Linked DNA regions of Caenorhabditis elegans. The protein of the gene in region 1 purifies or fractionates together with the protein of each later gene. This does not show direct contact. Each region holds a gene or a part of one and is shown on either strand. Other genes may lie near its edges.

What was found. The genes of interacting proteins can lie anywhere in the genome.
Region 2: the proteins of cytb-5.1 (region 1) and ddx-17 fractionate together in Caenorhabditis elegans (co-fractionation; one large-scale study listed by BioGRID). This does not show direct contact.

Annotation. Positions count from the first base shown.
Region 1 is NC_003284.9:14,000,192-14,003,602, reverse strand, and holds cytb-5.1 (Cytochrome b5), read right to left. Parts: upstream 1,680-3,411; 5' UTR 1,679-1,679; coding exon 1,565-1,678; intron 1,136-1,564; coding exon 1,007-1,135; intron 953-1,006; coding exon 876-952; intron 765-875; coding exon 680-764; 3' UTR 523-679; downstream 1-522. Other genes in the region: tbc-19 (TBC1 domain family member 2B), read left to right, coding at 261-339, 385-498.
Region 2 is NC_003283.11:14,008,249-14,013,514, forward strand, and holds ddx-17 (RNA helicase), read right to left. Parts: upstream 3,694-5,266; 5' UTR 3,569-3,693; coding exon 3,552-3,568; intron 3,502-3,551; coding exon 2,604-3,501; intron 2,558-2,603; coding exon 2,212-2,557; intron 2,167-2,211; coding exon 2,107-2,166; intron 1,954-2,106; exon of another isoform or gene 1,648-1,953; intron 1,361-1,647; coding exon 1,263-1,360; intron 1,218-1,262; coding exon 1,003-1,217; intron 904-1,002; coding exon 852-903; 3' UTR 523-851; downstream 1-522. Other genes in the region: aip-1 (AN1-type domain-containing protein), read left to right, coding at 4,331-4,388, 4,440-4,534, 4,582-4,656, 4,714-4,934, 4,982-5,039, 5,091-5,192.

The sequences.
Region 1 (3,411 bases):
TTCAAGAGTTCACACAGTTGGAATGACGCAATTTGTGAACAAAGTTTTTTTTTCAACAATTGTTAAAGCGATTTTTTTACAAAATTGAATTGAGAAATTGAAGCTAAATATTGGGTAATGTTTTTACTAACTTAGTTAATTAGTTAACTAAGTAAGTGTTATAGAAAAATATAAACGACTTCAAGATTTTTTTTCGTTCACGCAACATTCACTCACTTCATGACAAGGAACTTATGGCATATCCAAGAAATTTTTTTCAGCGAGCACCACATTCTTACCTGCTCTGGAGAGTTTGGCGCCGACGAAGCAGTGTTGCTTTGGAGGAAAGATATTTCCACAGTAACTAATTCCAAGTTAGCTAACATAAAAGCTGTTTAATTTCAGAATCTTTGGATCAATGATCCAGTAACCCACGAAGTTCCAAACATACCTCCATCGTCAAAAACGTCCTCTTCAACACCAGCTTCCATTCAATCATTATCATTTCGATCGAAATGAAAACAAAATATTAAAGTCCCTTTTCAGTGTACATATGTTAATCACAGTGATGTATTTATTTTCGATAATAAAATCACAAAATGACATTTATTGGATAACAATGAAAAAAAAATCAGTTTTTTTTAAGTAAGATAATGCCCCAGTTTTCAAAATCATGGCGAAAATAGTGGATCAACAGTGATTACGCAGCGATAAGATAATAAACAAGAGCAACAATGACAGCAAGAAGGGCGAAGTAAACAATGTTGTCGGTTTGCATTGACTCTCTGAAAAAATATTATTATTCTGAGCTGAGATGCAGCGTTTAGTCAAAAGTTAACTTTTAAAATCATTTTTAAAAAAGTTCAAATTCAAAATAAAAGTATAACCCTACTTACCCTCCTCTCTGCTTGTTATCCTGTTCGGTGGTAGACTTCCATTGCTTCTTGTCATACGAGTAGGTTTTTCTCTCAGACTGGAACACAAAACAAATGAATGAAAATTATAAGCAAAAAAGGCAAAAACTTACTGCAACGACTTCTCCGATCAAATACTCGTCCTTCATATGCCTAGCGTCAGTGGAGTGCCCAACATCCTCGAATGCCTCAGTTCCATCACTTCCAGCCTGCTCAAGAAGGACCTCGCAACCTCCCGGATGCTGAAAAAAAAACATTATTAATTTTTAGTTTTGATGCGCCACGTGGTGCCAGCCTGTCCCATTACGGTTTGATCTACAAAAAATTCGGGAATTTTTGCCCCTATTTGTTTTCAAGTATTTCGATATCTTAATCGTCATGGTTTTGATTGTATCAAACAGTAAATTTTGTTTTAACGATAAAATAAGAATACATATTTGAAAGAGACGGTAACGGCTATTTTTGATAAAGTTGATGCTAAAAATTTTTGAGCAAGAAATCCTATCAATTGCAGAGAAAAAATTTAATTCCTTTTCATTTTTCATAGATGTCAATTTCTTTCTATTGATCAACAATGAATCTGCGTTTGTGTTATTCGTACCGTAAAGTGTGGTTTATGTCTGCCTACGTGCTTCGAGTACGGATTTCTAAATATCAGAACATAATCTTACCTCGTCCAAGAACTTGGTCACATCAAACACCTTGTTTCCAATTACAAGCCATGCTGATTTGTTTGTGTTGTGCTCGGCAATTTCCTTAAGGGTGATTTGCTTAAGATCGGCCATTCTGAAAATCATTTCGTGTTATTAAAAAATATATAGATATGAGAAGTATGGCAATAAAAAACATATTAAATTATGTTATTAAAATACAGGCCTGCAATACAAGACAGAAAAGACAGCAGCAATTGTGTCAAGGATGAAGAGAGAAAAATAGCTGACCAAGTTGAAAGGAGAAATAGAGAAACATGGGAAAGAGAGCAGAGAGACAATTTGAACAAACAAATAATAACGGCGGAGAAGAAATGGACGAGAGAATTGGGCAAAAGGAGTAGTGTGCCTGGGAGGGTGGCCTCGCGATGATCAATAGGCAATGAGACTATACTCTAACCTGATGTCATGACAACAGAACATGAGCATAAAGCACATTTTGGGAACACTTTGGAAATGTTAGTTTTGTGATTTCGAAACATGTGTATAATAACCAAAACGTTTAAAAGTAGAGATTCTATGAAAAATGATGAACTTACTTACTTACTTACTTAGTTAGTTAGTTACTTAGTCAATCCGTTCTTCAGGAATTCGGGGGATTCCTGCGGATCACAGACAATTATTCAAGAATTCATATTTTTTGAAAGTTGAATTTAAAAAAAACACCTGCAGTTTTGTTCGGTTTGTAGTGGTTTCAGACTGTTGACTAGTCGATTCAAATTGTCATACTTCATTATTGTCAAAAAAACGTTGTGTCAGAGTGTCCCATTCCGGTTTGATCTACGCAGATCTACAAGAATTGCGGGAATTTAGAAACAGACTTCTCAAGTGATTTCACAAAGTTGCTGACGTCGCATTTTATTGGGAAACAATTTCCCGCTTTTTTGTAGATCAAACCGCGATGGGAAAGCATGACACCACGTGAAAAAGAGTCCTTATTTTAATTCTAAAAACGTAAAGCTAACATCTCAATATTTTGAAAGACGTTGCTTCAAATAGAAAGAAACAAATTAGTCGAAAAAAACGTACATTTATATTTCTACTAAAAACTGTATAATAAACGAATCATCTCAAAACAACTGTTTATATCAGAATCTTAAAAATAAATTTAAAAAAAAAGCTTCAATTTTCAAATTTAGTGGAAGTGTTTAAAAAGGCAAATAGAAAAAATAAATCCAACTCTATAAGTAACGGTAGTTTTAATGTTTTAGTTTTTACTTAATTTAAAGCTGAAAAATAAAACTATCTACTTGTTGATTTCACAAATAGTTGCGTCTATTCATTCCAACTTTGGAGAGAAACAGAAATTGGGATGACCTGGATAGAACAAGAAAAGGGGAAGGTGCATGAGATGAAGGGCGAGATGTGACCGCCAAGGGATTAATGTACGCAGGCTACGCAGGCAACGTGGATCCGTTCCTATCGATCGATATGCAACGAAATGAAAATAAGTCTAGGGCTGCGTAGCCTTTTATACCAGTTGCTATACGCTCTCGCACCAGACCAAAGTAGGTTCGCCAGTATGGTCAAATGGGGCTAGAGAATGCTAGAGAAGAGAATCTATGGTTTGTAGTCTTCGGAACACACGTAGTCAAAGTAAATTTTCAAGAGAGAAAAAGAGTAGGAGAGTGATCAAAGGTGGTTGTGTATTTGATAAGGAAAGATTGTACAGATTGAATTTAACGTTGAGGAGAAAATAGACAAAGTAGTTTGTTGGTCATATTGACTACATGTTAAATTCATTTTCAATTTTGGAGGAAATGTGAGTAATACGACGAAACATTATTTTGCAAAATGGAACGTATCGT
Region 2 (5,266 bases), on another chromosome or scaffold:
AGCTTTATATTAATGAAAAACTTAGTTTATAAACATATAATATACAAGCTCTACTGCAAAAAGAGTTGTTTGCTCACCATGTTCGAGAACAAAAAGCTTCCACTTCCGGTACACATCTGTCAATTGCCATTGGGTCTCGAAACGATCATGTCAGTTTTTTGTTCAAGTTTGCAAGGAAAAAAATGCGATTGGCCTAAAAACTGACGCAATCGTCTCTACAAAAGATCAATTGTCTGTGGCGCCCCGCCAACGAGAAAACTGTACTTCAATGCCGCCCATCTATCTCTCACTTTTCACATATCGATTGCAATAGAATAGACTGAATTAATAGAAAAGAAGGTCTCGAGAAGAAGAATTTCAATGCCTACAAGAACTGACGAACACAGAACCTGAAGAGCCTGTGTCGTTTTAAGGATACAAAAATGAAAAACAAGAAATCCGCGTGCCAACAATAGGAAAAGACAAAGAGCAAACAGGAAAAGTGGGGGACAACAGCCAAAACACAAAAATATATTTCAATTTTTTCCATCAACATCAATATTTATTTTCTTCAAAAGATCTTATATTAAAGAAACAATCTTTGAAACAAAACTGTTTCCATTGCAGCCGAGTTACACAAAACGCAATGATAAAACTAGATGGATATTATTAAAAGTTTGGAGGGAGATGACAGTTACTGATTAAAACAAAAATAAAATATGGGCACAACGCTCAAAAAAACAAAGAGTAAGAAAGTAAAAAGTAAAAAAGAATAAAAATGAGGAGAAGTTCAGAGTTCCATTAAAACCGAACGAACGAGATCTGAATTATCGTTTAAATGTCGGAAGTGAGTGAGAAGATATGTAGATCGTCTACCATCGGCCACCTCCACCGCTGCCTCCACCGTATCCTCCGTTGTCATATCTGAAAATTACAGGATTTAATTTTATTCGAAATTAGGTGCGATTTCAAAAATCCGTTATCATATTCCACTTTTTTATTTCTAATCACAAAAACACGTACCGTGGCCTCTTTGGAGCAAAGTTATCGTTTCCTCCGTATCCTCTCTTCTGGAAACCACCACCTCCATAGCGACCCCTTGAGTTGCTACCTCCGTAACTGCGGTTTGCCATATCACGAAGAGCTTGTGGAACAGTCTGCTTAGCCTCATCGAGAACCTTCAACAGATCCTTTGCCTTGGAAGCGTTTGTATGAGTGAAGAAAGTGTAGGCGGTTCCCTGAAAAACAAATCATGAAATATTGAATTTTCTCTACTAATTTACCTTTTTGTCACTACGACCAGTACGACCGATTCTGTGAACATAGTCTTCAGAGTTGTTTGGATAATCATAGTTGATCACGAATTTGATATCATCGACATCTAAAATTGTTAAATTAAAATTACTGTAAAACAAATTAGAGCAAAAAGCGTGAACGACGCTTTCTCTCAACCAGGTGAACCAAGAAGAATAAACACGAGTGAACCGAAACAGTGAATTGCCATTTAAACTCCTCTCTCCGGATAAGCCGGGAAATAAATCCATTCCAATAATTTTTTAATTATTAACAGGTTCCAGATGCGTATAAAACCTAGTTCACCAGGTTGAGAGCAATCACCACAGGGAGACCGCCGATACAACTCTGACTAAGCTATACGTACTTACGCACCTGAACCCAGAATTCTAAAGATGGGAATGGGGAAGAGGAGAAAAATTCGACGGAGTCACTGATGAGTCATCGGAACAGCCTGCACAAGCCACAACAGCACTCAATGTATATGACTGCAATACTGGCGGCTTGCGAAACTGAACCGCTTTCTTCGACTCGATGTGTAGATTTCATTCACAGAGCACCAGAAGGTACTCTCTGCCACTACACATCTGCAACGTATGATATGATAACGTCACAAGACGCTGCCAAAATCAACTGCATTGCATTTCGATCAATCCTCTCGGCCAAATCAAGTTGGTGTAACTGTAAAGGGTCAAATAAATCACAAATATGGCTGAATACCATGCTATTGTAACGATTGTCAAGAAAACTGGAAGCCAGAAACTCCTGAAACCGACTTTTCTAATATGTGACATCTAAAATTTGACCCTTTCTAGGTTGGCGCGACAAACTAACCCAATCCACGCGCGGCAACATCGGTGGCCAACATGATTGGTGTTTTTCCTGCTTTGAATTCTGAAAAATGTATTTATAACAAAATAATTGGTAACTTTAACTAACCTTGAAGAACCCAGTCTCTTTCTCCTTGGTTTTTGTCACCGTGAATACAGAGAGTTGGCCATCCATCGCGACGCATAGCACGAGTCAATTCATCGGCTTTCCGCTTTGTCTCAACAAAAATAATGGTTTTGCATTCCTTTTGATTCATGATATGATTGAGGAGCTCCATGAGTTTGGCTTGCTTTGCATGTTCTTCGAGAATATCGACGACTTGTGTGATGTTGTGATTGGCAGCGAGCTCAAGGGATCCGACGTTGAGGAAAGCAGCGTCTTTCTGGAAATCTGAAGCCAACGCACGAACTTCCTTTGGCCATGTGGCGGAGAACATGAGTGTTTGTCTGTCTGGCTGAAAAAATATATATTAAAACACAATTACAACAGATTCAACTTACGCGAATCTGTCCGATGATTTTCTTGATTTGTGGTTCGAAACCCATATCAAGCATACGATCGGCTTCATCAAGAACCAAGTAAGAGCACTTCTTCATGTTGGTAGTTCCGTTATCAAGGAAATCGAGAAGACGTCCCGGAGTGGCAACAACGATATCAACTCCACGCTCGAGATCACGAGCTTGTGGTCCTTTGGATGCTCCTCCGAAGAGACAGGTCATCTTGAGTCCTAACGAGTGGCAGAAATCGATTGATACTTCTTGAACTTGTTGAGCCAATTCACGAGTTGGAAGCAAAACAAGAACGGCTGGTCCTTCTCCGCGTTGACGGTGAGCCTGTTTTGTGATGTGGACGAGAGCTGGGAGCATGAAGGCAAGTGTTTTTCCGGAACCAGTTTTGGCGATAGAGATAATATCACGTCCGCTCATGGCAATCGGCCAGGAGATTGACTGAATAACTGTTGGTTTCTGGAACTTTCCGTACAAAAGCTCGTGAATCTGTCCTGGCAATGGTGCCTCGTTGAATTCGAAAACCGGGCGTGGGACACCACGGCCTTCGAGAGTAACTTGATTTGCTGATACCCATTGATCAATCTCATACTGCTCACGGCGGGATACGGCTGCATTCTCGTGATAGAAATCCTTCTCAATCGGAGTAAGGTTCTCGGCAGACCAGTCGACATCGCGAAGGCGTCCTCCAGCTGAACCATTGGATCCTCCACGACCTCCTCCACGGCCACCGCCGCCATAACCACCTCCTCCGTAGCCTCCACCGCCACCTCCTCCATATCCACCACCACGACCACCGCTGTATCCTCCGCCGCCGCCACCACGGCCTCCACCTCCATATCCTCCGCGGGATCCACCACCGCTGCTTCCTCCATAGCTTCTAGAACCTCCGCTGAAAAAGAAAAACAATTATGCACGTCAATAATCGATAAGTCAACTTACTATCCTCTGTCTCCCATTGTCTTTTTTATATGAGTTTGAAATGCGAACTTCTGGTCGTGCAACGGCTGCTGCGAAAATAAATATCGACTTCGATTAGTAGACCTCTCGTTTGGCTCGTCTTCCTTTGATACAGAAGCACGCGCTGACGAATTACAAGTTTTAAATTGATTCGCAGCGCTGAGAAAACGAGTAGCAAACGAGAACGGACGGATTGAAGAGACCCAAATTTTCGACGAAATTCGGTTGTTTTACCCTATAAAACACAAGTGGGGCCAAAATAACCAAGTGAGTATTTTGCGTCACACCGTGCAAGAAGGGGGAAAAATAATGGGAAAAACAACTTTTAAATCGTTCGAAAAATCGAATTTAGAAAGAAAAAACAGAAAAAGATGAAAGGTTTTGGGACAAATGCGAGAGACGAAAATCAAAAAAAGCGGGAGAAGGAGGTGCAAAGCGGTTTCGCTGTGAGACCCACCGCACGTTTAATGTCATGCGCCTTTAATCCAGCTGTACGCAGTGACGTCACGAAATACTGAAAGCGTCACGTTTTCTAGCGAATCAGCTGATATTGATTTCAAAAATCTTGAAATTGAATTATTCAATTTTTTCTCGTTCTAAAAAGTCCAAAAGCTTTCAATAATATATAAAAATCAATAATTTCGTAACCCGATGTCTGGCATTTCTGGTAAATTCTAGAATTTTTCCAATTGTCATCATTTCTTGTGTTTAAAAGTCTATATTCTCTCGTTTCCTATCAATATCGTTTGCTTTATTCAGCTATGGCGGAGTTCCCAAATCTCGGAAAGCACTGTGAGAGCACAGTTTGCAACAGACTTGGTAAGTCAACATTTAAAAAAAATTAATTAAATAAAAAAATAATTATTTCAGATTTTCTTCCAATCAAATGCTCCGGTTGTGGACATTTCTACTGCTCAGAGCACTTCACATTTGAGGCTCATAATTGTCCGACTGGCTCAAGAATTGTAAGTGTTTGAAAATCTTTTTTTAGATTAAAATTATTAAATTTCAGTCCGTTCAAGTTCCTATTTGTCCTATATGTGAGAAGCCAGTTCCAACGCCGAAAGATGTCAATGTTGATCAACAAGTAATTATTTTGAAATTATTCCTGCAAAAATATTGATAAAAATTGTTTCTTTTTCAGGTCAATGAGCACATTCAGAACAATTGTCAGACTCCGAAACGTGCAAAAGTATATTCAAACGCGTGTACCGTCCCAAAATGCAAGAAGAAAGAGCTGGTAGCCATGAATTGCTCAAAATGTCGAAACAACTACTGCCTTTCTCACAGACACGAGCGGGATCACAGTTGTGAGCGAAAAGTTGGCGAAATGAAGATAAATCAGAAAAAGAGCTGGACGGATTCGTAAGTTTATTGTTTTGAATAAATCGAATTTCAAGGTATTTTTCCAGAATCACATCAATCGCGCGTTCCCGAATGAATCCATGTTCCGCACAAGCAAGAACAGAGGTTTGTATCTATTTTCAAAAAAACAACTAACTAAATCACAAATGTTTCCAGGGAGATGAAGCTCTGGCTCGTTCTCTACAACAAGAAGAATACAATCGAGTTGCACCGCCGCATCAAACAAGAAATTCCAATTCCAACTGCACCGTCTCATAGCATCCAATTTAGTGTATATTTATTTCCCTTCTCATATTTTCTGTACAATTTGCATTTCTCTTCAACCTTGTTCT